Linked DNA regions of Tamandua tetradactyla. The protein of the gene in region 4 interacts with the protein of the main gene of each other region in a biochemical or structural test. Links are inferred from orthologs where the notes say so. Each region holds a gene or a part of one and is shown on either strand. Other genes may lie near its edges.

Region 1 (7,424 bases), on a different chromosome or scaffold from region 4:
GACTGCAGATGTAACAGCAACAGATGAGATTCACGTACCATTGGCTCATGTCCACAGCAACAGAAATAGGTGCCTTCACCTGGCCAAGTTGACAACTTAACCTAACTATCACAGTGGCATCTTCTCTTTCTCTTCTGGGTTCCATTGGCTTCCAGCTTCTGGCTGCTGTGGTTTCTCTCTGTGTGACCTTCCCTATTAGGCTACTGGTAGCTAATCCTGATTCAGTTGGACCACACTTTAATTGAAGTAATCTCATCAAAAAGTCCTATTTATAATGGGTTCTGTCATGGTCAGTTTCATGTGTCAACTTGGCCAGGTGTTGGTACCTGTTTGTCTGGTTGGGCAAGTGCTGGCCTGTCTGTTGCAATGAGGACATTTCATAGAATTAAATCATGATCACGTCAGCTGCATCCACAACTGATTCCATTTGTAATCAGCCAAGGGGAGTGTCTTCTGCAATGAGTGGTGTTTCATCTAATCATTGGAACCGTTTAAGGAAGATGCAGAAGAGACAGGCTCTCTTCCTGCTTTGGTTGGCGAGCCTCTCCTGTGGAGTTCGGCAGACCCTCCATCGGAATTGTCAGCTTCACAGCCTGTCTTGCGGATTATAAACTCTATGTTCCCACAGTTACATGAGACACTTTTATGAATTTTATATTTACAAATATTTCCTGTGGATTCTGTTTCTCTAGAGAACCCTAATACAGGTTCAGACCCACAGGAATAGATTAAGATGAAGAACATGTTTTTCTGGAGAACACAACTCCAAGCCACCACAGCCTTAAATAAGCATATGAAAAAGATGCTCAACACCATGAGCTATTAGGGAAATGCAAATCAAAATCACAATGAGAGACCATTGCATACCGACTAGACAGGCTATTATTAAAATAAAAAATTTTTTTGGTTTATTTGGTTTTATTTATAGTAAATAAACAAATTAAAAACAGACTTTGTCTGTGTTATTGGACAAAGGCCATGGAGTCTTCTGCCCGTCGTGCTCAGAAACCGATTTTTTTTTTATTAATTTTTTTAAAAATTCCAAAAACACCAAACAAATGCAAACATTCTTAACTTATGATCATTCCAGTCTACATATATAATCAGTAATTCACAATATCATCACATAGTTGCATATTCATCATCATGATCATTTCTTGGAACATTTGCATCTATTCAGAAAAAGAAATAAAAAGAAAAAAATTCATATATAACATACCTCCCACCCCTTCCCCTTACCGATCACCAGTATTTCACTCTAAAATTATATTAAAATAATTTTTAAAAAGGCAGAAAATAGCAAGTATTTATGAGGATGCAGAGAAATCAGAACCTTCCTGCATTGTTGATAGGAATGTAAAATGGTGCAGCCACTGTAGAAAAGTTTGACAATTCCTCAGAAAGTTAAGTATGGAATTATGACCTGGCAATCCCACTTCTAGGCATATACTCCCAAAGAACTGAAGACAGGGAATGAGATATCCATACACCAATATTCGTTGTTATTCACAAAAGCCAAAAGGTGGAAGCAATCGGAGTCCAGCAGTGGATGAATGCATAAATAAAATGTAGTATACACATACAATGGAATATTATTCAGCCATAAAAAGGAATGAAGTTCTGATACAACACAGATGAATCTTGAAGACATCATGTTGAGTGAAATAAGCCAGTCATAAGAAGACAAATGTATGATCTCACTTATATGAAATAACCAGGAATATGCAAATTCAGAGACAGAAAGTGGATTACAGGGTATCAGTAATGGGGCTGGGGAATGGGGAGTTAACACATAATGGGGTAATGGATCTTTTGCTGATGGATGGAAGTGATAGTAGCACAACTGGTGTGAATGTATTAACACCACTGAATTGCATACTTGAAAGTGGTTAAAATAGGAAATGTTACGTTGCATATGTGCTACCACAAAATAAAATAATTATCCTAGCAGAGGGATAATTCAAGGAAAGAGTGAAGGAACCAGCCTAATTCAAGGAACAGAACCATCAGTGCGCTTGGGGCTTGAGGTTGAACAAAGCAAAGAAGAGGTGGGAAAAATAGGAGACCTTCAAGTTTAGATAAACCTTGATGCCATCCTAAAGCCTCCAAGAGATGTACTGTCACGTTGGTTGAAGTATGGAGAACGGATAAGAGGCCGGCTGAGATGCAAGAAGCTGTAGAGTCAAGCTACTAGCATACGGGGGGCTTAAAACCCTGGGAAGGGATGGCATAACCCAAGGAGGGAAAAGAATGAAAATATGGCAGGGCTCCAGACCTTCACTCCAGCCCTCGGTCATGCCATGCTTCGTTCCATGACCCATATGCTGACGGGGGAAGCAAAAGCAGTCTCCCAGAAAGGTAGAAATATTCAACTTCCGCATTTAGAGAATTCCTGATATCCTTGCAAGCAATGGGGACAACCAAATCAATAGGCTGAGCCCTCGATCTTGGAGTTCACCCCTGTGAAACTTATTCCTACAAAGGACAGGCTAAGCCTACTTAAAATTAGGCCTAAGAGTCACCCTCAAAGATCCTCTTTTGTTGCTCAGATGTGGCCTCTCTCTAAGCCAACAGGACAAGCAAACTCACTGCCTCCCTCTCTCTACGTAGGACATGACTCCCAGGGGTGTAAACCGCTCTGGCAACATGGGACAGAAATCCTGGGATGAGCTAGAACTCGGCATCAAGGTATTGAGAAAACCTTCTTGACCAAAAGGGGGAAGAGAGAAACGAGACAAATCAATCGGCTGCTGAGAGATTTCAGAGTGGAGAGTTTATCCTGGAGATTATTCTTATGCATTACATAAATATCCCTTTTTAGTTTATGGTGTATTAGAGTGACTGGAGGGAAGTGCCTGAAACTGTAGAGCTGTGTTCCAGTAGCCTTGTTTCTTAAAGATGATTGTATAATGATAAAGTTTTTACAATGTGACTGTGTGATTGTGAAAACCTTCTGTCTGATGCTCCTTTTATCTAGGGGATGGACAGATGAGTAAAAAATATGGACAAAAAATAAGTAATGGGGGAACAATTGTTAAAATATATTGAGTACATTGAAATACTAGTGGCCAATGAGAGGGAGTGGTAAGGGGTAGGTATGGTAGGTTTGAGTTTTTTCCTTTTTCTTTCTTTTGCTGGAGAGAAGCAAATGTTCAAAAAATTGATCATGGTGATGAATACACAACCATATGATGATATTGTGAGCCACTGATTACACTCCACGTATAGAACGTTTCTATGTTAAAGTCTGACGATAACAAATATTTTTTTTAATAAAATAAAAGCAGCTTTCCAACCATCAAATAAGGGTCCTGCAGGCCCATCTCTTCCACACTCTAAGCCCTTTAGCCTCTCTCCGGGTGCCCACCCTCCCTCTCCCTTTCGAGACTGGGATTTAAGGCCGTACAGGCCCTCACTGGCCAGGAGGCAGTCACGGAACTCATTCTTGTGTTTGGGTCCTTCACACCTTTACATCGGACTGGAGACAGCACCGTTTCGTTAAGTACTTCCCGCGTGCACGGATCCTCCCAGGGCCCTAGATGACCGAACCCTTTACCCGAGAAGTTCAGAGAGGGTGTGCGGCTCCAGCAAGGACACCCAGCAGGCCTACGGGAACCGCCAGGGTGAGAGGTTCGGGTGTGTCCGGACCCAAGCCCCGGGGCGCTTCACCGCCACGCCGGACTTTCGGGGCACTCAGAACCTAACAATCTGGGATCCCCGGAAGGGCCAGTGCCCGGGGCCGAAGAGCTGGACAAGCGGGCACATGGCAGCCAGGGAGAAAGAATCGCCGGCGCCTCTCCCGCGGCGGACCCGGATCGTCAGCCCCATTAGCCTAGACCCCAAGCCCGACGCACAGACAGAAAGGCCCTCGACCGTGGGTTCTCGGTGGGAACCCACTGTAGAGAGAAGCGGGCCGGGCCGGGAGGCTCCGATGGCCCGCGAAGCCCACAGTCATCGCCTGCCCAGCGACAGAAGGCGACAGCGGTCTCCGACTCCGAAAAGCCACCAGACAGCCGAAACCAGAACTACCCTGTGATGGACAGCAACTTAAACCTATCAACGCAAGGTGCTGGCAATCCTCCGCCCAATTAAAATGTTTTTTACTTTGAAGGCGGGTGCGTCCCGGGCTCCAGAAAGAACGGAACCAATGGGAGCTCCTGGCGTGGTCGCGATTGGCGAACCATACGACCAATCGCTGTCGCGGAAACGTGCCCCTCCTTCGATCGCTAAGCCTTAAAATGGGAGGGGCTTTCGAGGAGAGGCCAATCCCGAGACGCGGAGGAGGCAGGCTGAGGAGATTACGCTCCAACTGCCCAATGAGTGGAAACGAAGATGATGGGCGGAACTTCAAGCCAATAGTGGAGGAGCGCAGGGAGCTCCCCGCCCCTCGGAGGAGTTGGACCAGTGAGCAGCCAAGGAAGGGGCGGGAGCCGGGGGTCCCGGCAGCTTCTAGTAGGTTCCAGAAGGCGGCGCGTGCGGTTGGGAACGCGGAGCGGACGGATTCGATTCAACCGGGTTCCGGGCCGGGCTATGGAGCAGGTGAAGGGGGAGGGGCGAGTTGAGGCCTGGGGGTCGCTCGGGGTTTAGCCGAGCCACGGGAGGAGGGACGCGGCGGGCGGTCCTGGCCGGGCCAAGCAGTGGCGTTGAGGAGCGGGCGGCGGCGGCGGGGAAGAGAGGGCGTGAGGGCTGCGGGCGCCGGGCCGGACGGGGGGGATGGTGCGAGGCCCTGTCCACTCCTGGCCGTGGGCAGGGCCGGGTCCCCTCCGCTCTCATCGCCCCCCGACTCGGCGGCGGGAAAAGGGGTCGTAGCCAGGCCCGGGAGGCCTGCGGGAGGTGGCTGTAGGCTAAGCGGGGGGGAGGGGAGGGGAGGTGGCCGCGGCGGCGGGACTGGGGGTGGAGGCGGGCGAGGGACCTCGGGAGGCGGGAAGGAGCGGCGCCAATCTCGGGGGATGCGCGATCCGGGAGCCCCGAGGCTGCCGACGGGGACGCCACCCAGCCCTTGGCCATGATGAACTTGGGGGACCGAGGGAGCGGAGACGGAGATCAGTTGAAAGTAGTTGGGGAGCTTCTCAAACTGGGACCCAGTTGGAGAAAAATGGAGCCTCTCAGAAGACCCTGGTGGGGGGAGTGTTGAGCGAAGGCCTGGGTAGCAGCGAACCGACTTTGCCTGATGCAGGAAAGGGGAGGGTGCAGCAAAAGTCCTTGGAACGAGTTTCAGATTTACTGTTGTTGCACGAATGTGCATGTGGCCCCTCCTCCCCCCCACGTTGTTTTGTGATTCTCGAGTGATTGATTGAGGACTGACACTTGAAACGTCGGTTTCTGGTTAGACAAGGAGGAATTCGTTGCGCTAGGAAATTTAGACCCTATCGATGAGCCAGAAGTCAAAGATTTGCTTTTGCCCAGCATTTTTGGGGGGGGTGGAATTCCAAGCTGTGGCTGCTTTCCGTAAAGGTGGTTATGTCCTCAGTGGTCTGTAGGTCGTGAGAGGTTGTGAGGTTTGTTTTAGTTGGAAGCTGTCATTGAAGGATAATGATTGGTGAAGAAAAAGAAAGCTGAACTCCCTTTTCCTTCGTTTTTTTTTTTTTTGTCTTTGATCAACAAAGGTGAACACTAATATGCCCCAGTTTATCTTTAGCCATACCTGGAGCCACTTTGTCAAACTAAAAATAAAAGTGTGAAGATGGGGAAGTCCGTAAACTTTTTGCTTCCTTGGGATAACTAGATTGTGTCAGGAATTAATCGACTTTGGTATAGGCAAGAAAAAATAGAAAAGGTCGCTTCCTGTCCTTACCAAGTTCGAAATGGATTGTTTGACTAAACTGAGGGCTGCAAACTTAAATGGTAAACGTCCTTACCAGTAATGAACCTGATATTTTAACTCTAGGTGTGTTAGAACCTGCAGTCTTGAAGCTATTCCTGAAAACCTTGTGACCTCTCTGCCTTTGTTTCCAATTTCAGTTCTGTGAAATACATACTTCCATTTGGGAAACAATCAGATTGACCTAGTTTGTGTTGAAAGTTGTATTTTCTTTATAGGCACTTTTCAGATCCCAGAGTGATACACTTTTTTTACATTTGACCTAATGCTGATCTATAACTGTTTACCATGACACTGTTAATACTTATTGTTACATGTACTGCGTGCTGGTATTTTTTACTGGACCTTTTAAAATGCTGGTCATGACCTACAAAATTGATTTCCTGGCCCACTGCAGGTGGCTACTCAGTTTGTAAAATGCTGTTTCATAGGATAAGCTAGAACTTAAGGTGTTCTTCAGCTGTCTCTTTTTTTTTTTTTTTTTTCACATGGGCAGGCACCCGGAACTTCAGCTGTCTCTTAATATCAGTTGAGTTTTTGTAACTTCTTGCCTTCTAACCTTCATCCTGGGTCCTAAAAGTTTCATCTCTTGCTTGCTAAATGTGGCAGTCTCCCACCCTCTCTCCTTCTCCCTTGACTCTCTAGAATCTCTCTAGGTGATGGAGTCTCAATTGGTATGCGTCAGAGGTTCCAAAATATAACAGAATTCTTTTTGGCAGCACCTTACTCCAGTCACAGTGGTTGAAGCAAAGAAAGTACAGCAATTGAGTAGTTTGAATGACAGCTTGATCTCACCAAATGTGTTTGCATTTTTAAGAGAGCTTTTGGGGTGTGGCATCTTATTCCAGTGTGTTTGAGAGGATAGGGGACCATTTTCCTTTACTAGTCTACTTAAAACAAATACCAGGTGGGCTAGCTTTTAACGATGGGAATGTATTAGCTTACAAACTTACAGTTTTGAGGCCGTGAAAATATCCAAATCAAGACATCATCAAGGGGATGCTTTCTGCGAGACCCTGGAGTCGTCTGTTACATAGCAAGGTACCTGGCAGCACCTGCTGGTCTCTTCCTCCTCTGCTCCTCTGGGTTTCCTTAATTTCAGTTTCTTGCTTCTATGGCTTTCTTTTTCCCTCCTCTCCCTCCTCTTTCTCTTTCTCTCTGTCTCTTATTTATTCCATTTATGAAGGACTCCAGTAAGCAGATTAAGACCTGTCCTGAATGAGGTGGGTTTCACCTTAAAGTAGCTTCATGAAAATATCCTACATAAATTGGGTCCCCACCCATAGGAATGGATTAACTTTAAGAACATACTTTCAGGGGTGCATACAGTTTCAAACCACCACAGGAACTAAACCACTGAAGTGTTTCTTTATCTTCCCCACACCTTTATAATAATTTTTTTTAAATGGGGCAAGAACCAAGTCATTTGGCGGGGTGGGGGGGGGTAGCTAGCTTTCCTTTATCCATTAAGAAACAGCATTAATTTACCATATGGTGACATATGACCACACCAGTAAATAGAAGAAAGTTCTTTTCTGGTATGAGGAAACAATTGCGTGCCACAGGGTGGGCATCTTTTTGCTCCAGAGGAAGGGAAAACTTC
Region 2 (6,831 bases), on a different chromosome or scaffold from region 4:
CTGGGCAGAGAATCCAGAAGCTATCTGCGATGATTTTATTTAGCTAGGTCATTGTCACATCAGGTTCATTTGTTAACTTGGTCAGGTGGTGGTACCCGATTGTCTGGTCAGGCAAGTGCTGACCTGTCTGTTGCTATGAGGACATTTCATGGACTTAAATCATGATCATGTTGGCTGCATCCACAGCTGATTACATTAGCTAAGGGAGCGTCTTCTGTGATGAGTGACATTTAATTTAATCACCAGAAGGCTTTTAAGGATTCAGAAGAGACACTCTACCTGCTTCAGCCAGGGACCTTCTGCCATGCACTTCGTCCACACCCTTCATCAAGTTGCCAGCTTCACAGCCTGCCCTGCAGACTATGAACTCTTCCATTACCACAGTTGTCCAGCCAACGTCTCCTGAAAGTTCGTTGACGACTGTCATCGTAGTTGCCAGCTTGCAGCTTACCCTACAGACCTTGGATCTTTACATTCCCAAGGTTGCCCAGGCAGCCTCTCCTGAGAGTTCGCTGAGGACCTTCATCAGAGTTGCCAGCTTATAGCCCTACAGACCTTGGATTCTACATTCCCAAGGCTATGTGAAACACTTTTATCAATTTCATATCTACAGATATCTCCTACTGATTCTGTTTCTCTACAGAACCCTAGCTAATACAGTCATGATGTCTCCTTTAAGCTTCATGGCCAATTTCCTTTTTCCTATATCCAAAAGAGATTCTTACCACTTTACCCCTTTCCCCTTTATATGACATATATAGATAACTTCCAAGGTCTTATTAGAAAATTCATACAACTAGACTGTGTTCATTATCTGATTTAATTTTTAAAATGTTTAATTGCTCATGTCAACATACAAAATTCTCTTTTGCTACTAGTGACTCTGGGCACATATTTAAATTCAGTTCTTAGAAAAATATCACAGAGAACTTGCTATGATAATTGACAAAATGTCTCTGCAATCCTTTGGCATATGTATTTTTTTAACTGACCTGACAATTTCTTCTCTTAGGAGACTGTTAGGATTAAATTTATGAGGTGGCATCTACTACTCACCACGTATTTTCTAGTTTCTGTTAATCCAGGTTGCAGATTTATTAAACACCCTGACACTGTAACTATACATGTTTGAATCTACATTTTGCCCCATACTAGAAATAGAACTATTAGTGAATTTGAAAATGAACCTGGTATAACTCAGGTCCCCACCTACTAATGGTTGGGATAACATCTAAGGGCTTGAATAAGCCTAATTACAAAGTATTTGTGAAACTTCTGGTAGAAAAGCTATTTCCAGAAGAACACTAAAATAAAACCCCTTGAAATATGTTTAGTGAGGAATAACTAAGGAAGTAAATAAACTAATGGGGGAGGGGAATAGCTGTAAATGAACCATGAATTAGGATACAAAAAAAAAAAAGGTAGTTTTCCCCGTAGCACTCTCTACCCTGTCTTTTGACAAGGGAAATTGCCAGAAATTTGGGTTGGAGTCTTCTATCTCTAATTCAGTTCTTTCATTTTCAGTTCATCTTATACTTTGTTACCAATTAATCTTTACAAATCTAGGACACAAGAGTGCTGCTCCCCGACTCAAAGAAACTTTAATAGCTTCCAAATGTGAGAGAGACAAGTTGCAATTATCCCGATATTCAGCATCACCATTATTTGGTTCTGACTATCTTCTTAACCATATCCTGAACTATTCCCTTACATTCTCAACTACCTAGGTCAGGGTTCTGCAAATTACAACCTGTACACGAAATCTAACACATTCACCAGATTTTTTATGTGCAGAATCTTAGTCTGTGAGCTAACAATGGTGTTTACATTTTTAATTGGTTGAAAAAAATTAAAATATCTTCTGATGTGAAAATTATAAGAAATTCAAATTTCAGTACCTTTAAATACTTTTATTGGAACATAACCATCCTTGTTTGTTTACATATTGTCTGTTTGTCTCATGCTGTAATAGCAGAGTTCAGAAGGTGCAACAAAAACAGCCAGCATGATTTCATCTGGCCATTTACAGAAAAAGTTTGCTGACCACTGACTTAGAAATACTTCTGTTTCTGTCTCTTCACCAATATTCCTGCCTGAATATACTAATCCGACTTATTCCTGCTGTCACCTCTATGAGGCTGTCAAAATAGAATTTTCAAAAAACTAAAAAACACGATTCTCTCACAAACATATAATTAACATAAACCAAATATCTCACTCACGAATGGAACCAGTAAAATGGCAAATAACATTTGGTTATTCACAGGCATAAAAATGAAAGAATTAGAATAAGATTGCTGGGTCAAACAAACCCGCTTAGTGTCCTTCAGAGCAATAAAACTGTAACTTTGGGATTAGTCTTCCAATAAAAAATCTACAAGTTAGTATGTAACTTCACGATGTCTGAGTTCTAATTATATAATAAATAGCAAAGACAAACATAGGTTCGTTCTCCTGTCTCCTGATAGACAGGTTAAACAATGTCCCAGTGTAAACTGAAAGGCTATCCCTCGGTGCAATGCCTTATTTCCAGGTTCTGGGTAATTTTTCTGAACAAAACCTACCCTCATTCTTCCAGCCCAAATAGACCTCTCCTCCTTTCAAGCTCCCATACTTTTTGTATTTCCATTATGGTATTCAATAATCATTATTTTGTCTTTCGAACAGGCAGCAGGCCCCTGAATCAGAGTAACAGCTGGGATTTAATCGCCCTTTAAAATGAAACTAGATAGGGTTCTATGTCCACAGTTCATGATATCTATCTTGCACAAATATAGACATCAAATATCTTATTGCTGAATATGAAACCCCCAAACACTCCCTCTGGACATCTTACAGCACTTTTCTTAAAACTCCTTTGGGTGCTCAGTAGCGGTGTATCGCTTTTGTTTCCCCCTCATTCTACCGTTTAAGTGTCCTCCTAGTGGGCAGGGCCCATTCTGATCTCTTGGTTAGCCCCCATTAGAGCACAACCCAGTGCCTGGCACAAAGCAGTTGCCCAAGAGATAACGGTTGAAGCAGACTGAAAGCCTCCCACCCCAAATTCACACACACACTGATGTGTCTGAAGTCTCTCCATTCTCTGACACCTGGCTAAACTCTCCCCTCAAACAACCTGTCTGGCCTATTAGTATCTCAAGAATAACCAATCCCCCCTTTCACGTCACAAGCCTCCAGAAAAATCTTCGTCCCTCGGCCTCAGCTTTCCTTCCACTATCCAACACAGCCGTTTCTCAGGGGAAGACGCCCAAGGAACAACGCCGAGTGCCTATAAACCCAACGGTTTTCTACCGGAGCGCGGAACAAGAGGCGGGAAGAAGCCGGCGCAGGCCGGAAAAGGGCGAAGGGCGGCGCCAGCCTCGGGAAAGATCGCGAAGGAGCTGGGAAGCTCCGCCCTTTCCGTAGATATCTCTAGAAAGCCGCGCGGGAGCCCGAAAACAAGGACTGCGCACGCGCGGCGGCAGGGCCCGGGCATTTTGCTGCGTCACCAGCCGCCGCCTGGCCTCACCACCCCTCGTTCTCACGCACGCACGTTCGTTCTCCGTCCTCGCGCCCCTTTTCTTACGCTTTCCTCTTCTCTCCGAGCCGCGGAGCCGCTCTCTCTGCGCGGTGCATTCTGGGGACCCAGGCCGAGCCCGCCGCCTGTGCCGTCGCCTGAGGGAAGCGTGAAGAGGCCACGACCGGGGAGAAAGCGCCGGAGTCGCGGCCGGAGAGGAGTCGACTCCCAGCAACTGCCGCCGGAGAGGCCCGCCCCCTGACCCGTTCACAATGTGAGTGCGCTATCCCATCGTGGGGAAGTCGGCCTTAGGGAGACCGAGGCCGCTCTGGGGACTCCTGGGCTGTGGGGAAACCTTGCCCTCCCCACCCCTCCCCCCGCCTTCGGCGCTCTCCGTTTTCTCTTTTCACTGGTGGCGGTTGTTACTATCTGGTGGTGGGAGGTCTGTGGTCTTGTTCGGTTACCGTTGGTGGACGGAGGACATTTTTCCTCCACATACCCGCTTCCCTCACCTCTAAACTGTCCCTCGTTTTCCCCATGCCGGAAATCCCGCTTTTCCCCCTTTGGTGGTCTGAGTTATGCGTAACCGTTCATAACTCGTCCTAACTTAGCTTTAGGCCTTAGGCCTTAATCTCCTTTGAGCCTTTTGCCATGCGGGCGCCTTGGAGGCATTTGACCCTCGTGGATTGCCACTTCGGTTCTCCGTCAGTCTGGTTCTGCCACTCTGTGTTGGGACCAGGCCCTGGGCCAAGTGCACCTGTGGTGGGTGCCACCAGAAGACTGATGGTGCAAGATCCTAGAGCCTTACGCGGCCCAAGGCCGTGAGCGACAGTTACTGCTAGGCAACGAGAGGGAGGCCATGCCGTCACCACAACTTTTTTTTTTTACCCTCTGAAGTGCCTTGATTTCTTGAGTATAGGTCCTTTCAGGCCTCTAAACTCAAGTATCTTGAAGGAAATGAAGGCTGCTAAAGCTCAGTCGTGTCCTGGCACCGAGGAGTTACCACTGAACAGGTAGTTTTGCACGTGTCGAACCTAGAGATACTTGTGGACATTGTGTTCCATATTAAACTGTAGGTGAGGTATCATTCATCTTAATTTAGAATAAAATAGGTACATAACTGTCTTGTGGTCTTAAGGTGTTCAAATTCTGTTTATGAGGAGGATTCTGTTGCCATCTTTTTCTTTTATGGTAAAGGAAAACTTTGGTGATCTTAACGTAATAAAAGCTCTTGACCTTTCCACCTTAAATCTATGTAAAATAGGTTTTGCTTATCCCTTTGAAATTTCTAAATAATTGTCAATATGGACTGTAGAGTACTAGTAGTGCTAAAGTTAATGTGGACTTTTTTTTTCTATCTTAATTGGATTCAGGGGGATATATTAACTGCTCAAAATGTTTATGTAATTGACAGCTGTAGGCTTTATATTCTTGTTGAAATCGTCCCATTACTCCCTTTTAAGTTTCCCCATTTGATAGTTGTTAGGTAAAGAGATTTTTTCATTTAATACTTTGAAAGTCTCTACTCTGAAAGTAGAAGAAAAAATGAATTGTCAGATAAAGCAGTACCAACTTTTAATGTGTATTAGAGCAATGTAGAGTATTAATATAGGGGAAGTACCATGTTTGAAATAGAAACACTTTTCGGAGGTCACTTTTTGGAGGTTAAAATAGGTAAGAAATGTTAAACTATGTAAAGGGTAAAATTGGGATGCCAAGTGTAGCAATCAGTATTCCAAAAAGCAGTCTGACTATATTTAAAGAATGCTGCCTTTAAAGTGAATTTTCTGTGAAGAAACCAGATAAATCTCATCCTCTTTTAAAATGTTAGACATGTGCTGTCTTGTAAATTCTTCAGGGGATCTTAAGAAAATCTGAGTCATTTATTTGAGTTGGAGAAGACTTTTAATGGATCATTTAGTCCTAGGAAAAATTGGCTGATAAGGGTTCCTCTTGGTGATGTCTATTTAAAACATTGTTTTAATGCTGCTTTTCTGTTGATTTGTTTTTTGTGCTGGATGTCTTGAAGGTTTGGGGTTGTGTTTTTTTCAAGTTTGGAAACTCTGTTAGTGATTTCTTAGTTAAATTTGTCTAGTAGCCTACATAGAAGTTTCCATCTCTCTCCTACCTTGGAGAAGGCTGGGATCTTAAGACCTCCTTACCCATTTAAAACCTCCCCAAAGCTAAACTTGCGCTGTGGTACTTTGCATTCTCTTTTAAATTAGCTATTATAGTTGGTTGCTATTGGATCCTAACAAGAGAAGAAAGTAAAATATTTTATTTAGTTTTATTTGAGGTATTTGAAGGGTCATTCTTTCTGTGCCTTGTTGAAATCATCCCATTAATTTATTATTTAAATTAATAAATTTTTGGAAACATAAAATGACCATCTTGAACATTGATTTAAAATCTTACTTTGCTGTTCCTTAGCTTTGTAGGTTTGAATCTCCAAAGATATCAAACCTCCAAAGCAAATTGTCATAGTGAGCATATGGTTTACCACTAATTTCTATTTAAAATGAGTAATTGGTAAGTTAGGGAAGATGATAGCCTTTGTTCAGTGTTGATTTTCTAACCACTGTAACCTGGCAGCTGAATTTCCTTTTTTTTTATTATGCTCAGTTAGCCTTTAACTAGAAGGCATTAGAAATCACTTGAGTTTAGGCTAGTATTATATTCGAAATTTAGAGTTTCCTATTAAATTATTCTCGGTTTAAAAATTCTGAGGCTATATCATTTTGGGGTCTTATGTGGTTAATGATTGTGCCCTTCAGGGATGGGAGGTGCTTTTTTTATTGAGATATATTTACAAACCATCTGAAGTATACAATTACTGGCTCACAGTATCATCACATAGTTGTGCATACTAGAACATTCTCATTACTTCAGAAAAAAAATAAAAAGAAAACCCAAACCGTCCCATATTCCTTATTCACCCCTATTGATCCTTAGTTTTTGATATAGTATATTTGTTATTGTTGGTGAAAGAATATTAAACCATTACTATTAACTGTAGTCATAGTTTTCAGTAGGTACGTATTTTCCCATAAATCTCCTCTGTTAGCTCTTTATAATAATGTCATACATTTGTTCTAGTCCATGAAAGAATGGTTTTGTATTTGTACAGTTAATCACTGGCGTTGTCCACCACAGGATTCAGTGTGTTAAACATTCCCATGTTTTAACCTCCAGCTTTCCTTCTGGTGACATTTGGGAGATGCTTTTTTAATACCAGTTAGAATCAACTTAGCTCTTAAAAAACTTCAGATCATATTTTATCTGAGTTCTTAAATTGAGAATTGTTGCATCTGGTGTATTTTGCTGTTGAAATGCAG
Region 3 (7,915 bases), on a different chromosome or scaffold from region 4:
TGTTTTAATTCTAGTTCTCACCTTATAAAATTCACCAGTCCTGGACCATACAATCTCCAGTTCCTTCTGATTTCAGATCTAAATCCTTTCAGCTCTAAAACTCAGCCTCCAAATGCTTCTGATTCTAGAGTCTAGGCCACATTCTGTAAGTTCCTTTGGTCCCAAATCTCACAACTCTTATTGCCTGGTTCCAGCCTCTACCCTCACCCTCCTAACTCAATTCTGGGCTTCTCATCCCACTCAACACTCCCCAATTCCTGCCCTCAGTCCTATGTCTTCCCATTCCAGATCCCTATATCCAGGGCTCTTGGCACATAGACTTCAAGCCCAAATCTCTCTATTCTCAATCTCATTTCCCTGAAATTTCTCTGATCTAGAACCCCCTGGACTCCCCATCCCAGGCCTCCAGACATGCGCTTGCCTTTTCTTTATCCCAACGTCTGGGTATCTGGGGCTCCCTCACCCCCCCTTATGGGGTTCACATCCAGGAGACTTCTCTAGCTGCACAGGGCCACGCACAACCTGTCTGCATATTGCAGGGTAGGGAGAGAGGCCAGGAGTCTCAGCTCTCTGCCACCACCTATGTATCCCCTTTACCCCCAAGCCCCTTTCTATGAAGGTGCTACTCTTGGACTTACCCAGGAAAAGGCTCCCCTCTCTCAGCACAGTTCACCTCCTGTTTGGAAGGCGCTGCCCACTGCATTTTGTCAGGGGGTGGCCTACCCAGATTGGTGCTATGTGGAGGAGAAGGATCTGACCCCTCCTTCCCTCGGGTGATCTGGGTCATTCAGTGGAGGGAGCTGTGCCGGCCTGGGGGAGGGGAAGGGTCTGGAGCAGCCACAGCTGACTCTAAAGCCCACTAAATTCCATTTTACCATAAAGACCTTGCCTCGGTAGGCACAAGAGCTCTGTGTGTCGACTCATCTGTGGGATCGCTTCAAGGTGTGGGTGCAGTGGGTGACTCACTGGACACCTGTGTGTGAATATGTGTTCCTCTGTATCTGGTGTGTGCTTGGTGATGTCATCTGTGTGTACGTGTGTGTATGTGACATAATTCTTTGAGTGTGTGTGTGTGTGTGTTGTAACTCTTCCTACATGTGTGTGTTAATATTCTGGTGAAGTGATTCTGCCTTACATGTGTTTCTGGTTACATTTGTGTGCCAGCTGCTTTAACAAATACCACATGGGTTGGCTCAAACAACGAGAATTTATTGTCGCATGGTTTTGGAGGCTGGAAGGCTTGCTTCCTCCTGATGTCAGTAGTGTTTTGGCAGGCAGGCAATCCTTGGGTTCCTTGGCTTTCTCATCACATAGCGATGTCCACTGCTTTCTCTTCTGGGTTCCTCTAAGTTCCTGCTTCTTCCATGCGGCTTTTTTTTTTTTTATGATCATTCTGTTCTACAGATATAATCAGTAATTCACAATATCATCACATAGCTGCATTTTCATCATCATGATAATTTCTTAGAACATTTGCATCAATTCAGAAAAAAATAAAAAGACAACAGAAAAATAAAACGAAAACAGAAAAAAAGATTATACATACCATATCCCTTACCCCCCATTGATCACTAGCATTTCAAATAAATTTAACATTTGTTCCCCCTATTATTTATTTATTTATTATTTTTATAGTGAGTTTTTCAATGCTTAAAAGTTGGCAATATACTCAGTATTTTTTTTCTAAATTTATTTTAACATTTGTTCTGCCTATTATTTATTTTTATTCCATATGTTCTACTTATCTGTTGACAAGGTAGATAAAAGGAGCCTCAGACACAAGGTTTTCACAATCACACAGTCACAATGTGAAAGCTATAACATTATACAATCATTTTCAAGAAACATGGCTACTGGAACACAGCTCTACATTTTCAGGCAGTTCCCTCCAGCCTCTCCATTACATCTTGAATAACAAGGTGATATCTATTTAATGCGTAAGAATGACCTCCAGGATAACCTCTCAACTCTGTTTGGAATCTTTCGGCCATTGACACTTTGTCTCATTTCACTCTTCCCCTTTTTGGTCGAGAAGGTTTTCTCAATCCCTTGATGCTGAGTCTCAGCGCATTCTGGGGTTTCTGTCCCACATTGCCAGAAAGGTCCACACCCCTGGGAGTGATGTCCTATGTAGATGGGGAGGGTGGTGAGTTTGCTTGTTGTGTGGGCTGGAGAGAGAGGCCACATCTGAGCAACAAAAGAGGTTCTCTTGGAGGTGACTCTTAGCCTAATTTTAAGTAGGCTTGACCTATCCTTTGTGGGGTTAAATTTCACATGAACAAACCCCAAGACTGGGGGCTCAGCCTATAGCTTTGGTTGTCCACACTGCTTGTGAGAATATCAAGTATTCAACTTGGGGAAGTTGAATTTTCCCTCGTGCTCACCGTTCCCCGAAGGGGACTTTGCAGATACTTTTCCACTCACTGATCAAATCACTCTGGGATTCATCAGGGCATCACTCTGGACAAACCAACAAAATCTCATGTCCTACCCAAGGTTTCATGTACTTATGGTATTCAACCAAGCTGTCTATATAAGTTATATTAGGAAATGCACTAATCAAAATATAAATTTTGGGGTGGGCCACGATGGCTCAGTAGGCAGAGTTCTCGCCTGCCATGCCAGAGGACCCAGGTTTGTTTCCTGGTCCCTGCCCACGTAAAAAAAAAAAAAAAAAGATATATATATATAGTACCAAATAAACATTTTTTGCTTCAGTCTCACACATAAGTTGAAATTTTAAAATATTAATTACCATCTATTTTCAGGACCCTGCAGTAATGCCTCTAGTTATAGGATTAAGACCGTCCTAAACTAAAAATAACATCTTCAATGGTCCTATTTACAATGGATTCACACCCACAGGAATGGGGTTGAGATTAAGCTTTTTTTTTTTCTAGAGTATGTAATTCAAGCTACTACATTCAAATTTCTGTGTTCCTGAGTGGCAGAGTTGTGATGTTTTTGTAGCTGTATGTGTCTATATGATGTCGTGATTCTGTGTAGACATGTGTGGGACTGTATAACGCTGTAATCCTGTATACCAATGTGTATCTGTGTGACACGATTCTCTGTCCTTGTGTGTGGATAAAAAAGAGTGATTGTGTGTCCACAGAATCATGTGTGGATGGGTGTTTCTGTTTTGTCACGTCTCTACAAACTGCCCCCATAATTCCTCTCCTTTGTTTCATATCAGAAGCTTTTTAAAGGAAGAAAACCAGTTTTCAGCCTTTACACTTGCAGTCCCCTCTGCCTCAACGCCCTTCCCTCACTTGATTGTCTCCTACTTCTACTTCAGACCTTAATTCAGACACCCCCGCCTCCAGGAAGCCTTCCTTGCCTGCCTCAACTGAGCAATGTCCTCTGGTTTTCCACAGACCTCTGAGGACCACCCTCCTACAACACAGCACCAAGCACCCTGCCTCACTCTGAATATTTTTAACTGGGTGAATATGAAAAGTACTTACTCTGTATCAGGCCCTCTGCCAAATGCTTTATTCATGTGATCTCGTTGAACCCTCTCCTAACTCTATAAATAGGCCCCATTTTAGAGGATAAATTCCTCAGAGAGAGTGAACACTTGCCCAAGGTCACACAGCAGGAAAATGGATGAATTGGATTCAAATATAGGAACCCTCTCCTCTCCCCACAAAAAAAAATTTAAAAAAACAAAAACAAAACTCCACAAGCCAAGAGGCAGGTTCTAGCGTTCTGGAGCCTAGACAGTAGAATAGGAATAAAGAGCACCGGAATCAGGTGGAACAGATTCAAATCCTGACTGCTGCTTCCTAGCTGTGTGACCTTGGGCAAGTGCGATGACCTCTCTGAGAACCTCAGTAAAAACAGAGACGATACTAGTATCTACTCTCGAGGGTGTCTGTTGGCTGGGGTGGGGGTTGGGGTGGGGGCAGTGAGAGGGTTGGGGTCAGACTGACAGGCCGAAAAAGAAGGTTTGGGGTTGGAATATCTTGTGCTTCCTGCATGGGAGCCAGAGCTAAGCCTTAAAAGAGTCGATGCTAAGGATTTGGTATGAATAGAAGCCAGAGGCTTGGAAAGAATGGACCAGAAAGGTATGCATTGTGCCCAGTGGATTGGGATCTGGAGATATTGCCCGAATCTAGACTATTCAGGGTCTCCTAGGAGAGCAGAAAGAATTTGGGTTTTCTCCTAAGGCACTGGGGAGCCGTGGAAGGCTAGGGATGGTGTGTGTAACACGATGACGGTCATGTTGTAGCAAATACCCCTCCCTGCGTTATGGAGGGTAAACTGAAAGCTGAATGTAAGCAGCAGAGGCGGCGATCCAGGCAAGAGAAGAGGCAAAGAGAAGAGAATCATTCTGAAGATTCAGCAGGATTTGGGAAGCTGAATATATAGGGAGGAGAAAGGAAACGGTTGGCCAAACCTCTGAACCTTGCCGGGCATGAGGCTCCAGGCGTCCTCAGTTCACAATTTTAAAAGACGGACCCTCAGGGTTAGAGCTTTCTTTCTTTGAGTAACCGCCCACTTTTCAGAAGGGTAACCGAGGCCGGAGAAAGGTGAGGAGTGTTTGCTCAGGGTCACGCAGGTAACTGGCGGTAAGGCCGGACTGCAGCTCCACGTTGGCATTTACAACCCACCCACCAACGCGAGGGGATGGAGGGAAAATTCCACTTTTAGACCCGAGGAACTTTTAGGGCTTCGGAGCACGGTAACTTCAGGAATAGGGGCCAAGGTGGGCCTTTTCCCCGCCCGCCCCTTTTCATCTTCCCTATTGGCTCATTCTAGGAAGGGCGCTGTCTGGGAACCCTTTGCTCGCCTAATCCTCGGCTCGCTCATAGGCGACAGGGTTCTGCGCAGGCGCGCGAAGGGCGCCTTCGGGGCCCGCGCTTTACGACACTTGTGCGGCGGCGGCGGCGGCAACTCGGCTCTCCTTCGCGACGGTTCAGCCGGGTGCCGCTAGCGGCCGTTGCCAAGGTGGGGGTCGCTTTGCGGCATGGCGATGGCGGAGGGTGAGCGGACTGAGTGTGCTGATCCCCCCCGGGACGAGCCCCCGGCTGATGGTGCTCTGAAGCGGGCAGAGGACCTCAAGACGCAAGCCAACGACTACTTCAAAGGTGCGCCCGCTCCGGAGGGGGCAAGTTAGGGTGGAGAGCGGCCCAGGCGGAGGGCTACCCGGCCCGCGCGGAACCATGGCAACGCGGAGCGGAGCCGCGGCGCGGGCAGGCGCTACCAAGTGGACAGGAGTAGGGAGGCCCAGTATGGGTGCTACCAAGGGGCGACGTAGGGGGCTTTTGAGGGAGAGGGTAATGCCAAGATGTGGTGTACAAAGCGGGTGATACTTAGTGGGGGGACTAAGGCGGGCGCTGCCAAGTGTGGGGCGGGAGAGCGAATAAGGGCGCTACCAGATGGTGAGCCTTTGAAAAGTGCTACCTGATGGTGATACCTGAAGAGGGCGCTACCAAGCGCTGACATGTGCCGGGTGAGTGATGGCGCTACCGAGTGGAAAAAGGAGGTTGGCTGCCACCAAGGCGGGACAGGGTGATTGGTCCCAATAAAGGAAGGAAGTGGGGGGCGGGGAATAGGTAGTAAGTGGGCAGAGAAATAGATTTGGTGACTCAAGGAAAGGGGAGTTGGGTCCCCTGAGAGTAGGGACCCCAACGATAGTATGATTTATGATCTTAGGAAAGAGATATATTGAGCACCTGCCGTGTGCCAAGGACTATGCTGGACTCTGGGGAAAGAACTGCAGTTGAGACCGATGTAACCCTGTCCTTGTGCAGCTTATGATTTAACAGGAGAATCAGACATTGAGTAAACATGCAAATAAGTAAAATAGTTGTGAATTGTGATAAGTGCTTTGAAAGAAAACCAACAAGGTGCTGAAGTAGAGAATAAGGGTGGTTACTCAGGGTGGTCAGGGAAGGTCTTACTGAGAAGGCAGCATTTGAGTTGAAACTTGGAGAGGAGAAATGGAAAGAATTGTTCCAGGTGGCTGGAGCAGCATGTGCAAAGGTCCTGAGGTGAGAAATGACAGACTAGTGTAGCAAGGGGCTTTAGCAAGTTTAGGGGGGAGGCTGATGTGAGATGAGGTTAAGCTAGGGTCTAGATCATGCAGATTCTTGTAAATCATTGCAAAGACTAGCTTGAATTTTACTTAGCTATCAAAAAGGAGACATTGAGAATGTAGATTGGCCAATCTGGAGGGTTGGGCTGAGGAGGAATTTGAGCACAATCTATGTGATTGAGAATGAATGAGGTCGCTTAAAAAGGAGGGTCTGAGAAGATAAGGGGCCTAGAACCAAACCCAGGGAACTCTGATACTGAGAGTGAGAGGGAGGCTGAGAAGGAGTGGCCAGTGAAGCGGAAGGAAAACCAGGAAAGAAATGTCAGGGAGGCTAAGAGTTGAGAAGAGAATGCTTCCAGAAGGAGGGGCTGGTGCCCTAGGTTGGATGCTGCCAAGGTTTTGACCTTCAGTTTTGACCATGAGTTTTGGCTCCGTGGACATTGGTGGTGACCTTGACAAGGGCAATTTCTGGGGAATGGTAGGGTGGCATCTAGCTAGGAGGGCACTGAAGAGTAATGGGAGCTGAGGAAGTGGAGACAAGAAATGTTGGCAAGTGTTCAAGTATTTTGGTTCTGAGGGCGAGTGGAGAAATCGAGCAGGAGAAAAAGGTGGAATTAAGGGAGTCTGCTTTTTTTAAGGATGGAAGAGACTATGATCCATTTCAGAGGGGAGACTTCCAGCAGTCAAGCAACTGAAAGGTAGTAAGGGGAGATCTAGAACTCTAGTGGAGGACTTGGCCTCTCATGAGCACAGAAACAAATTCTAGGTCTGTGGAGGTTTTGTCAGGCTGGAACAATGAAAGGGAGGTGGGACTGGTGGAACTGGTGGGTCTGGGGTTGTGGATATCATCCTGAAGGCATGGGGAGCACTGGAACGTTTTTCAGCAGAGGAGCAACATGGTTTGAAAAGAGCATTTGAAAAAGGCCCCCTACTGCTTTGCAGAGAATGAATACATGGGTAAGACAAAATCAGGAGGCCAGGAGGGCATATGAGCGAGGTGGTACACAGATCAGGGGGGCAAAGGGGAAGACCTGGAAACTGATTCAAGTGTTTCAGAGGAAAGGAGAGTGGCCCTCCAGGCAGAAGGAACCGGGTGGTAAAGGCCCAAAGGTGAGCAGAGCCTGGCACTGGGAGGTGAGGGGGCTGGAGTGTAGGAGGGGTAGTAGTTCTTGGTGAGGTTGCTGAGTCTTAAAGAGGAGCCTGAGCTTTCTGCTGGGGGTCCTGGGGAGCCATGGCAGGTGTCTGGGCAGAGGAAGGACAGGGTCAGCCTTGTGCTTTAGAAAGATCTCTCTAGCTGCCATGTGGAGGGAGCAGGTCTGGAAATTGGGAGGGCAAAAAGGAGGCTGGGGCAGGAACCTGAGCAGGAGAGGAGAGAGTCCAGACTAGGGCAGGGCAGAGGTGTTGGAAGTGAGTGAGTGGGTTTGAGAGACGTTCAGGAGGCTGATTCGACCAGACATGGTGACAACCAGTCTTTGGGTATGAGGGGTTGGGACGAGGCCCCGTCTCCAGCTTGGCGATGCAGTGGAAAGTGGGTTCATCCCTGAAACGGGACATGGGAGGAGTAGTGGGTATGGAGTTGATGCTGAGGTTACCTAGGAATTGTGGGAAACAGCAGGGGCACCTTGCCCCCCCCTTCCCCCCCCCCCCCCCCCCCAGGATCTGGGATCCAGCTGTCAGGAGCCCTGGGACTGGGCAGGCCAGAGGTACCTGGCATTGAGCTGGCATGGAGGAGAACCGCCTCCTGCCTGGCAGGCAAGGGCATGCACCAGTCCCTGCTTCCCGGACTGTGGGAATAACAATAACAATAAAAAAGAATAATTACAGCTTACTTTAATTGAGCCCCTGCAGCGCCAGGTACATCGCTTTGTTTAA
Region 4 (7,849 bases):
AGCTTGACTTCCGGAACTAATGACCTACCCCTTCCAGACGTCACCTGACCTCCATCCTTAAAAGCTGCCTGTGCCAAAGCCCACATGCGCACTCACCTCCCTCCATCTTGCGTTTGGTGAGTTCCGCCTGGGAGCACAGAAATAAACCCCCCCCCCACCCATACACACACTTTAAATTTCCTGGTGTACCTTTCTTCTTTCTCACCTTTTTGCCTCCTAAACCTTTCATCTGGTGCCTGAAACCCGGGAGAGGAGCGCAGGTGCCGCCTGCCTGGCCAGAGGTGCCCGGGCTTCCTCTCTCCTCCTTCCTCCACAAAGCCAGAGACAAGGGATCCTTCGGCCCACCACTGCATCCACCACAGATTGGGTAAGTCCCTCCCCTCCTAGCCCTGCTGCCGGGTCTCATGGTTCCGGTTCCGAGAGAGCCTGTCCGTTAATTACTCTCCGAAAATTGTGAATTCACGTCAGGTTCTCTTCCGAGGGCTGAGGTGAACGGGGACACCCGCAAGCCTCATACCCTCTTTCTGGGACTCGAAAAGCTGTGGGGACGCCCCGCTTCTCGTTTCCCTCCCAAATTCAGGTCCAGGACCTGAAAGGGCCTCAAACCAGGGTGAGACGTCCCCTGGGGAGACAAGCCCCTGCTCGTAAGAGTTCCTAGGACTCTCTCAGGGCGTTGGGACGCTGACACCCCCTGGGCTAGTCCTTTCTCTTTTGAGACCCGTCAGTATGGGCAATAAATCCTCAAAAACCAAACCTCATACTCTTCTGGGTTGTCTCCTGACTAACCTATCCATACTGGATTTACTTCCAGACAATCGGCCAAAATGCCTCACTTACTTTTGTAAAAAGGCTTGGCCCCAATATCAATTGGATAATGATTCTCATTGGCCTGAGGATGGGACTTTCGATTTTAATATCCTTACGAACCTCCGCAACTTTTGCCAGAGGAATGACAAATGGGCCGAAATTCCTTATGTCCAGGCTTTTTTCCTTCTGCGCTCCCGCCCCTCCCTTTGTACCTCCTGCTCTATAGCTCATGTTCTCCTAGCCAAGGAAACTCCCAAATCCCCACTTCTCTCAGAAGAAACTTCCTCCTTTTCTGACCCCCTCGATTCATCTTCCTTTAAAAGACCAGGGCCACCACTGCATCTTGCGAAACTAACCTCCTCTCCCTCGCTCTACCCTCCCCTCCCTCCAGCAGCGCTCCAGTCGCCATCTTGCCTTTCCCTCCCCCCTTCTGCTTCAGTGACATCTCAGTTGCCATCTTCTCCTTCTCTTCCTCCTTCTGTTCCAGTGACGTCCCAGCCGCTATCTTTCCCTCCACTCTCCCCTTCCGCACCGGCGGCACTCCCGCTGCCATCTTGCCTTCGTCTTCCTCCTCCACTGGTGGCGCTCCAGCCACCATCTTACCCCCCTCTTCCTACCCCTGCTCCAGCAACATTCCAGCCACCATCCTATCCTTCCCTTCCTCCTTCTACTCCAAAGGCTCTCCCATTACCGGCATGACCCCCACCCCCTGCTTCGGCTCTTCTGCCACCAGCTAGTTCCTCGCTACCCTCACCTGTAAGCTCCCATACCCGCTCAAAAAGTACTTTACTCTGTCCCCTCCAGGAGGTTGCAGGACCTGAAGGATTAATTCAGGTACACACTCCCTTCTCTCTGGCCAATCTTTCACACATTGAAAAATGGTTGGGTTCCTTCTCCAACGATCCAACTACCTATACTAAACAGTTCCAGTATCTAGCTAATGCTTATGACCTCACTTGGCATGACATTCATATAATCTGCTCTTCTTCCCTCACTACAGATGAAATGGACTGCATTTTCAATGCAGCCAGGGCCCACGCTAACCAGGTGCATATAACCTACCACACCATGCCGGTAGGGGCCTAGGCCGTGCCAGACCAGGAGCCAGGGTGGGAATATCAGGATGACACTCCAGCGGGGAGGAACGGGCAGACTAGACGGGACAAAATGCTTACATGCCTCATAGCCAGCAAGCAGAAAGCTTCACATAAAGTAGTAAACTTCCATAAGCTAAGGGAAATTACCCAGGGTCCTGATGAAAACCCGGCCGCTTTTCTACACCAGCTCACAGAAGCCCTCTCCCAATATACCCGCCTAGACCCCGACTTGGAGGCTGGTAAAACTGTTTTAGTCACACACTTTATATCCCAATCGGCTCAAGATATAAGGCGTAAACTTAGAAAAATTGAGGAAGGCCCTCAGGCCCCTATCCGTGACCTGGTAAACACGGCCTTTAAAATTTTTAATACTCGTGATGAATTGGAGAGGGCAGAAAAGGAATCCCGGGACCGCCCAAAGGCGAATTTACAAACCCAATCCCTGACTGCGGCTCTGCGGCCCACTTCAACGGAGAAGAAGCCAGCTACGACTAATCCACCACAAGGAAAGTGCTTCAAATGTGGCCTCGATGGACAGTGGTTCCGCCAGTGCCCCAATCCTCGACTGCCCAAGGGACCATGCCCTCTCCGTGGTAAAAAGGGACACTGGAAAAGTGACTGCTCCTCGGTGCCTGGCCGTGAAGGGGCTGTCCTTCCAACCCCTAACCCACAGCTAGCAGTCCTGGGCCTGGCCACCAATGACTGACAACACCCGGCCTCAGTGACCCCAATCACCCTCATTGAGCCCAGGGTAACAATCAACGTAGCAGGTAAGTCCACCTCCTTTTTAGTGGACACAAGGGCTACCTTCCCTCTTACTCAGGTCAACTCCTTCCTTCCCAGGTCACCGTTATGGGCATAGACGGCCGTCCTTTGTGCCCCTTAACTACTGGACTGCTAACGTATTTAATAGAAGGGTACCCCATTACACACTCTTTCTTAGTAATGCCTTCTTGCCCCAGCCCATTAATGAGGCGAGATCTTCTTGCCAAATTAAGAGCCTCACTACATTGGATAAAAAACCCTCAAAAAGAACTTCATAGCAAGTGCCGGACTAACACCACTATCCACAACACCACCCATGCCCCCAAAGGACAATATTTCTGGTGTAATGGAACTCTTACCACATGCCTTAACTCCACTGCCCCAGGACCATGCTTCCTGGTAACTATTGTTCCTCAATTAACCCTCTATGGGGAGTCCGAACTAACTTGGTTACTGCCCTCTCCTCGCTCAAAAAGGGCTGCCTTTCTTCCTATCCTAGTAGGCATCAGCCTAACCACTTCAGTTGCAGCCTCAGCCACAGCAGGAGGGGCTCTGGGACATGATATTTTAACCTCTCAAAACTTTGAAACTCGACTACAGGTAGCCCTGGAATTGACATCAGAATCCCTCTCCTCTCTACAACGCCAACTCACCTCATTAGCCCAGGTAACTCTTCAAAATCGACGGGCCTTAGACCTGCTGACAGCTGATAAAGGAGGAACGTGTATATTCCTCCAAGAGGAATGCTGCTATTACATCAACGAGTCAGGTCTGGTGAAACAAAATATTCAAACCCTAAACAAACTAAGAGACGATCTCTACCACAGAAAACAAGGAACCAACTCTGCCTTAAGCTGGATTTCTTCTCCTCTGGTGACATGACTCCTCCCACTACTAGGACCAGTTATCCTAATCTGTCTCTTTTTTCTCCTAGCTCCCTGCCTCCTCAACTTCCTTCAGGGGTGCATGAAGGAACTATCCCCAGTAGAAGTCAACCAAATGCTCCTGCATCATTATCATCACCTGCCTTCCTCACCAAATTCCTACAGCCAGCCTCCCCGCTCCCCTGGCCATGACGGTTCCAGCCTATAACCCCACGCCGCCCCATTACAGCAGTAAGTAGCCAGAAAGATCTCAGCACCCTATTATCACAAAAAGGTTGGAATGTTAGGTCAGGGGAACCGTGAAGGGCACTGCAATCGGAGCTGCAGAGGCTGTGTCACCCCTCTCAGCCTGACTTCTGGAACTAATGACCTTCCCCTTCCAGAAGTGACCTGACCTCAAACCTTAAAAGCTGCCTGTGCCAAAGCCCACACGCGCACTCACCTCCCTCCATCTTGGGTTTGGTGAGTTCTGCCTGGGAGCGCAGAAATACCCACCCACCCCCCCCCACTTTAAATTTCCTAGTGTACCTTTCTTTCTTCTCACCCTTTCGCCTCCTAAACCTTTCACTAGTGACCCTTCATCCGCACCCCGTCACGGACCGACCCTACACGCCTCAAACGCACTAGTCTGCGTCACGAGCCCCAGCCCCCCACCCCCATGCAAAACGAAAGTTGACAGTGGAGAGGGCAGGCACGGAAGAACCCTCAATCCATGTCCCAGAACCCTAAACATAACCCCAACCCCCTAATCACTGCCTGGGTCACCTAAATGCTGCCCCAACCCCCCAATCCGTGTCCCGGAACCCTAAACACGACACCAACCCTCTAACTGCTGCTCTGGACCTCTACACGCGACCCTGGACCCCTAAGTCGCAGCCCAAGCGTTGAGCAGACGCTTACGCCATCAGGGAGGGCACACTGCCTAAGAATCAAGAAATCACTGCAAATTTCACAGCAACTCGGCCACGTGCACTATTTTCCGGGCCCCCAGTACCCTCGCCGAGCTGGGGGCACAACCCAGGGGCCCACCGAGACCCCAGGGCCAGGGCACGGGTGGCAGGGATACACACAACCGGGACCAGCCTGAGGAAAGAGGGTGGGCGGGGGTCGGTGGCGCCGGAAGCGCAGAGACCTTCCCGAGAATTCCGGGCCGCGCAGGCGCAGAAGGCGACGCGAGAGCGCGCAGCGAGGCGGGGCGGGACGCCTAGGCCATTCTCGGCTCGGGGCGGGACGCGGCCAGGGCGCAGGCGCAGGCGCGCGGTCGCGGCGGCAGTTGGGGAGGGTTCTTCCGGAAGGTTCGGGAGGCTTCTGGAAAAGGCGCCGCGCGCTGGGCGGGCCCGCGTCTATATAAGGGAGGCGCGGGGGTGGCGCGCCAGTTGCTTCAGCGTCCAGGGGTTGCTGCGGTGTGGTAACTGCGTGTTCCTATCGCCAAGGTAAGGGGAACTTGGGGGTCTCTTCTGGCACGGGAGGGTGCTGGTGTCTGGGAATGAGCGGGGAGGCGCGGCCGGGGGCACCAGACTCAGCCCCCAGCACCTTTCCGCGGTTCTCGGCCTATGAGTGTGGGGGCGGCCCCCGTCTCCCTTCCGGAGGCTTCGGGCCTGCCGCGGCCTCCCCAGAAACGGGTTCCGGACGCCCCTTGGTCTCCCGGGATATTCTGCCGAGGCGGTGGGGGATGGGTTCTATGCGCGGGCAGAAACGCCTTAGCGCCGAGGACTCTCCGGGCAGACGGCTCCCGGTTTCGGTCCCAGCTCGCGGACGCGGGTGGCGGCGGGGGGGTGGGGGGGGGCGTTATGGCGGCGTGGCGGGGAAAGGGGGCGCCCCCGTTGGCGGGGCGCGATAGAGGCGCACTGAACCCGCGACGTCTCCTGGCGGGGTGTGCGCGCCCCTGCGATTATCGCCGCGCTAAATGAGGTCATCCCTTTGTCAGCCCGCTGGCTATTTTCGGTTTCCTTAAATTTTTCTCTTCCCTGGGGCGGGTTTCTAAAAATACCGGACGGGTGCTCCGGACCCCGAGGCGCGGCTACGCGCCACGCCGCGGCCTGAGCGCGCGCTGCCTTCCGCAGATGCCCGAAGAGACCCAGACCCAAGACCAGCCCATGGAGGAGGAGGAGGTGGAGACGTTCGCCTTCCAGGCCGAGATCGCCCAGTTGATGTCTTTGATCATCAACACTTTCTATTCTAACAAAGAGATCTTTCTGAGGGAGCTTATCTCAAACTCGTCGGACGTAAGTCTGTGTTCCAGGGTCGGGTGTGGGTGAGGACCCGGCCGTGGGCTTGACGGGTGTATTCTTGCGTATAGGCTCTGGACAAAATCCGATATGAGAGCTTGACCGACCCCAGCAAGCTGGATTCCGGGAAGGAGCTGCACATCAATCTTATCCCCAACAAGCAAGACCGGACGCTCACCATCGTGGATACCGGCATCGGGATGACTAAGGCTGACCTGATCAACAATTTGGGCACCATCGCCAAGTCGGGCACCAAGGCGTTCATGGAGGCGCTGCAGGCTGGTGCCGATATCTCCATGATTGGCCAATTCGGCGTGGGTTTCTATTCTGCCTACCTAGTGGCGGAGAAGGTGACGGTTATCACCAAGCACAATGACGATGAACAGTATGCCTGGGAGTCATCGGCGGGAGGCTCCTTCACTGTTAGGACCGACACAGGTGAGCATCTAAGGGTGGGGTGGGGGGGGGTGGTGCTGAAAGTCTTGAGAAAGTGAGAGCCAATAGAGATGTAAGCAGGTGCAGGAGCCGAGCGTGCTGCTGCTCAGCCTTATGAGAGGGGGTAAACCCTGCCTATTAGGGACTGGTTCAGAAAGTGCTGGCAAGGACCTCTTAGGTGACCTTGAGCCAAATGGGTATTTTTTTTAACCTTAACTATATCTGAAAGTTGTATTCTTTTCCTTTAAGGTGAACCCATGGGTCGTGGAACAAAGGTTATTCTGCATCTGAAAGAAGACCAAACTGAGTATTTGGAGGAAAGAAGAATAAAGGAGATAGTGAAAAAACATTCTCAGTTTATTGGCTATCCAATTACTCTTTTTGTAAGTTTGTACATAAACTGCAAACTGCGTAGTGGACGCCTGTATGTAATTAGCTGAACTTGAAGTCTTTAGGCTTAACTAAGGAAGACCCAAATTTAAAGGGTTTATTAATGCTGGTCTGAAGCCTGTTTGGAGCTGGGTTCCTCTGACCTTAATTCTGTATACAGAAGTAAGGCTGAAATAATTTGTTGCTGTAAAGTTTCCTTACAGGTTTCTCTGCGTGGTTGACTTAGATTATGATATAAGTACTCTTAGCCTGTTTTAGTCTTAGGAAGCAGAGTATTTCACGTAATTTTTTTAACCAGGTGGAGAAAGAACGTGATAAAGAAGTAAGTGATGATGAGGCTGAAGAAAAGGAAGAAAAAGAGGAAGAAAAAGAAGAAAAGGAGTCTGATGATAAGCCAGAAATAGAGGATGTTGGTTCTGATGATGAAGAAGAAGAAAAGAAGGATGGTGACAAAAAAAAGAAAAAGAAGATCAAGGAAAAATATATTGATCAAGAAGAACTTAACAAAACAAAACCCATCTGGACCAGAAATCCTGACGATATTACTAATGAAGAATATGGAGAATTCTATAAGAGCTTGACCAACGACTGGGAAGACCACTTGGCAGTGAAGGTGAGCATTGAGTGCTTCCAGAACTATCATGCCTCAGCCAGGTAATTGGTCTCAAATGGTTAAATCAGAGGGTAGGTGGTGTGGGCTTTTTTCTTTTATGTCTTAGTGCTTTAAGTTGTGTGACTGCAAGTACTTATCTGTCAGTTAAAGTGTTCAGTAAAAGCTGCTTTCACTGTCTCTTGGTGTTTAGTGTTTTGTTCTTTTTTCCCCCAGCATTTTTCAGTTGAAGGACAGTTAGAATTCAGAGCCCTTCTCTTTGTCCCAAGACGTGCTCCTTTTGACCTGTTTGAAAACAGGAAGAAAAAGAACAACATTAAGTTGTATGTTCGCAGGGTTTTCATTATGGATAACTGTGAGGAGCTGATCCCTGAATATCTGAGTAAGTGTGGCTGGGTTAGTTTATGTTTCTTTGGGTGTCTATACTAAACAATTTTTGTCTTTGGGTGGTATATCTTGAAGGCATTTGGTCTATGTTTTTTCAGATTTCATTAGAGGTGTGGTGGACTCTGAGGATCTTCCTCTAAATATTTCTCGTGAAATGTTGCAACAAAGTAAAATTTTGAAAGTTATCAGAAAGAATTTGGTCAAAAAGTGCTTAGAGCTCTTCACTGAACTGGCAGAAGATAAAGA

Evidence for each region.
Region 1: the proteins of HSP90AA1 (region 4) and STIP1 form a complex in vitro, tested with the Homo sapiens proteins (9 studies listed by BioGRID). The link is inferred for Tamandua tetradactyla from reciprocal best matches to the Homo sapiens genes HSP90AA1 and STIP1.
Region 2: the proteins of HSP90AA1 (region 4) and PTGES3 form a complex in vitro, tested with the Homo sapiens proteins (10 studies listed by BioGRID). The link is inferred for Tamandua tetradactyla from reciprocal best matches to the Homo sapiens genes HSP90AA1 and PTGES3.
Region 3: the proteins of HSP90AA1 (region 4) and PPP5C form a complex in vitro, tested with the Homo sapiens proteins (4 studies listed by BioGRID, with this or other methods). The link is inferred for Tamandua tetradactyla from reciprocal best matches to the Homo sapiens genes HSP90AA1 and PPP5C.

Annotation. Positions count from the first base shown.
Region 1 is NC_135335.1:10,451,076-10,458,499, reverse strand, and holds the start of STIP1 (stress-induced-phosphoprotein 1), read left to right. Parts: upstream 1-4,416; 5' UTR 4,417-4,530; coding exon of another isoform or gene 4,531-4,539; intron 4,540-6,761; 5' UTR 6,762-6,820; coding exon 6,821-6,862; intron 6,863-7,424. UniProt on the Homo sapiens protein: Acts as a co-chaperone for HSP90AA1. Mediates the association of the molecular chaperones HSPA8/HSC70 and HSP90.
Region 2 is NC_135333.1:123,760,008-123,766,838, reverse strand, and holds the start of PTGES3 (prostaglandin E synthase 3), read left to right. Parts: upstream 1-3,816; 5' UTR 3,817-4,453; coding exon 4,454-4,509; intron 4,510-6,831. UniProt on the Homo sapiens protein: Cytosolic prostaglandin synthase that catalyzes the oxidoreduction of prostaglandin endoperoxide H2 (PGH2) to prostaglandin E2 (PGE2).
Region 3 is NC_135342.1:14,870,038-14,877,952, reverse strand, and holds the start of PPP5C (serine/threonine-protein phosphatase 5), read left to right. Parts: upstream 1-4,911; 5' UTR 4,912-4,972; coding exon 4,973-5,093; intron 5,094-7,915. UniProt on the Homo sapiens protein: Serine/threonine-protein phosphatase that dephosphorylates a myriad of proteins involved in different signaling pathways including the kinases CSNK1E, ASK1/MAP3K5, PRKDC and RAF1, the nuclear receptors NR3C1, PPARG, ESR1 and ESR2, SMAD proteins and TAU/MAPT.
Region 4 is NC_135338.1:63,505,288-63,513,136, reverse strand, and holds the start of HSP90AA1 (heat shock protein HSP 90-alpha), read left to right. Parts: upstream 1-4,843; 5' UTR 4,844-4,986; intron 4,987-5,616; coding exon 5,617-5,778; intron 5,779-5,852; coding exon 5,853-6,219; intron 6,220-6,465; coding exon 6,466-6,599; intron 6,600-6,904; coding exon 6,905-7,219; intron 7,220-7,432; coding exon 7,433-7,598; intron 7,599-7,701; coding exon 7,702-7,849. UniProt on the Homo sapiens protein: Molecular chaperone that promotes the maturation, structural maintenance and proper regulation of specific target proteins involved for instance in cell cycle control and signal transduction.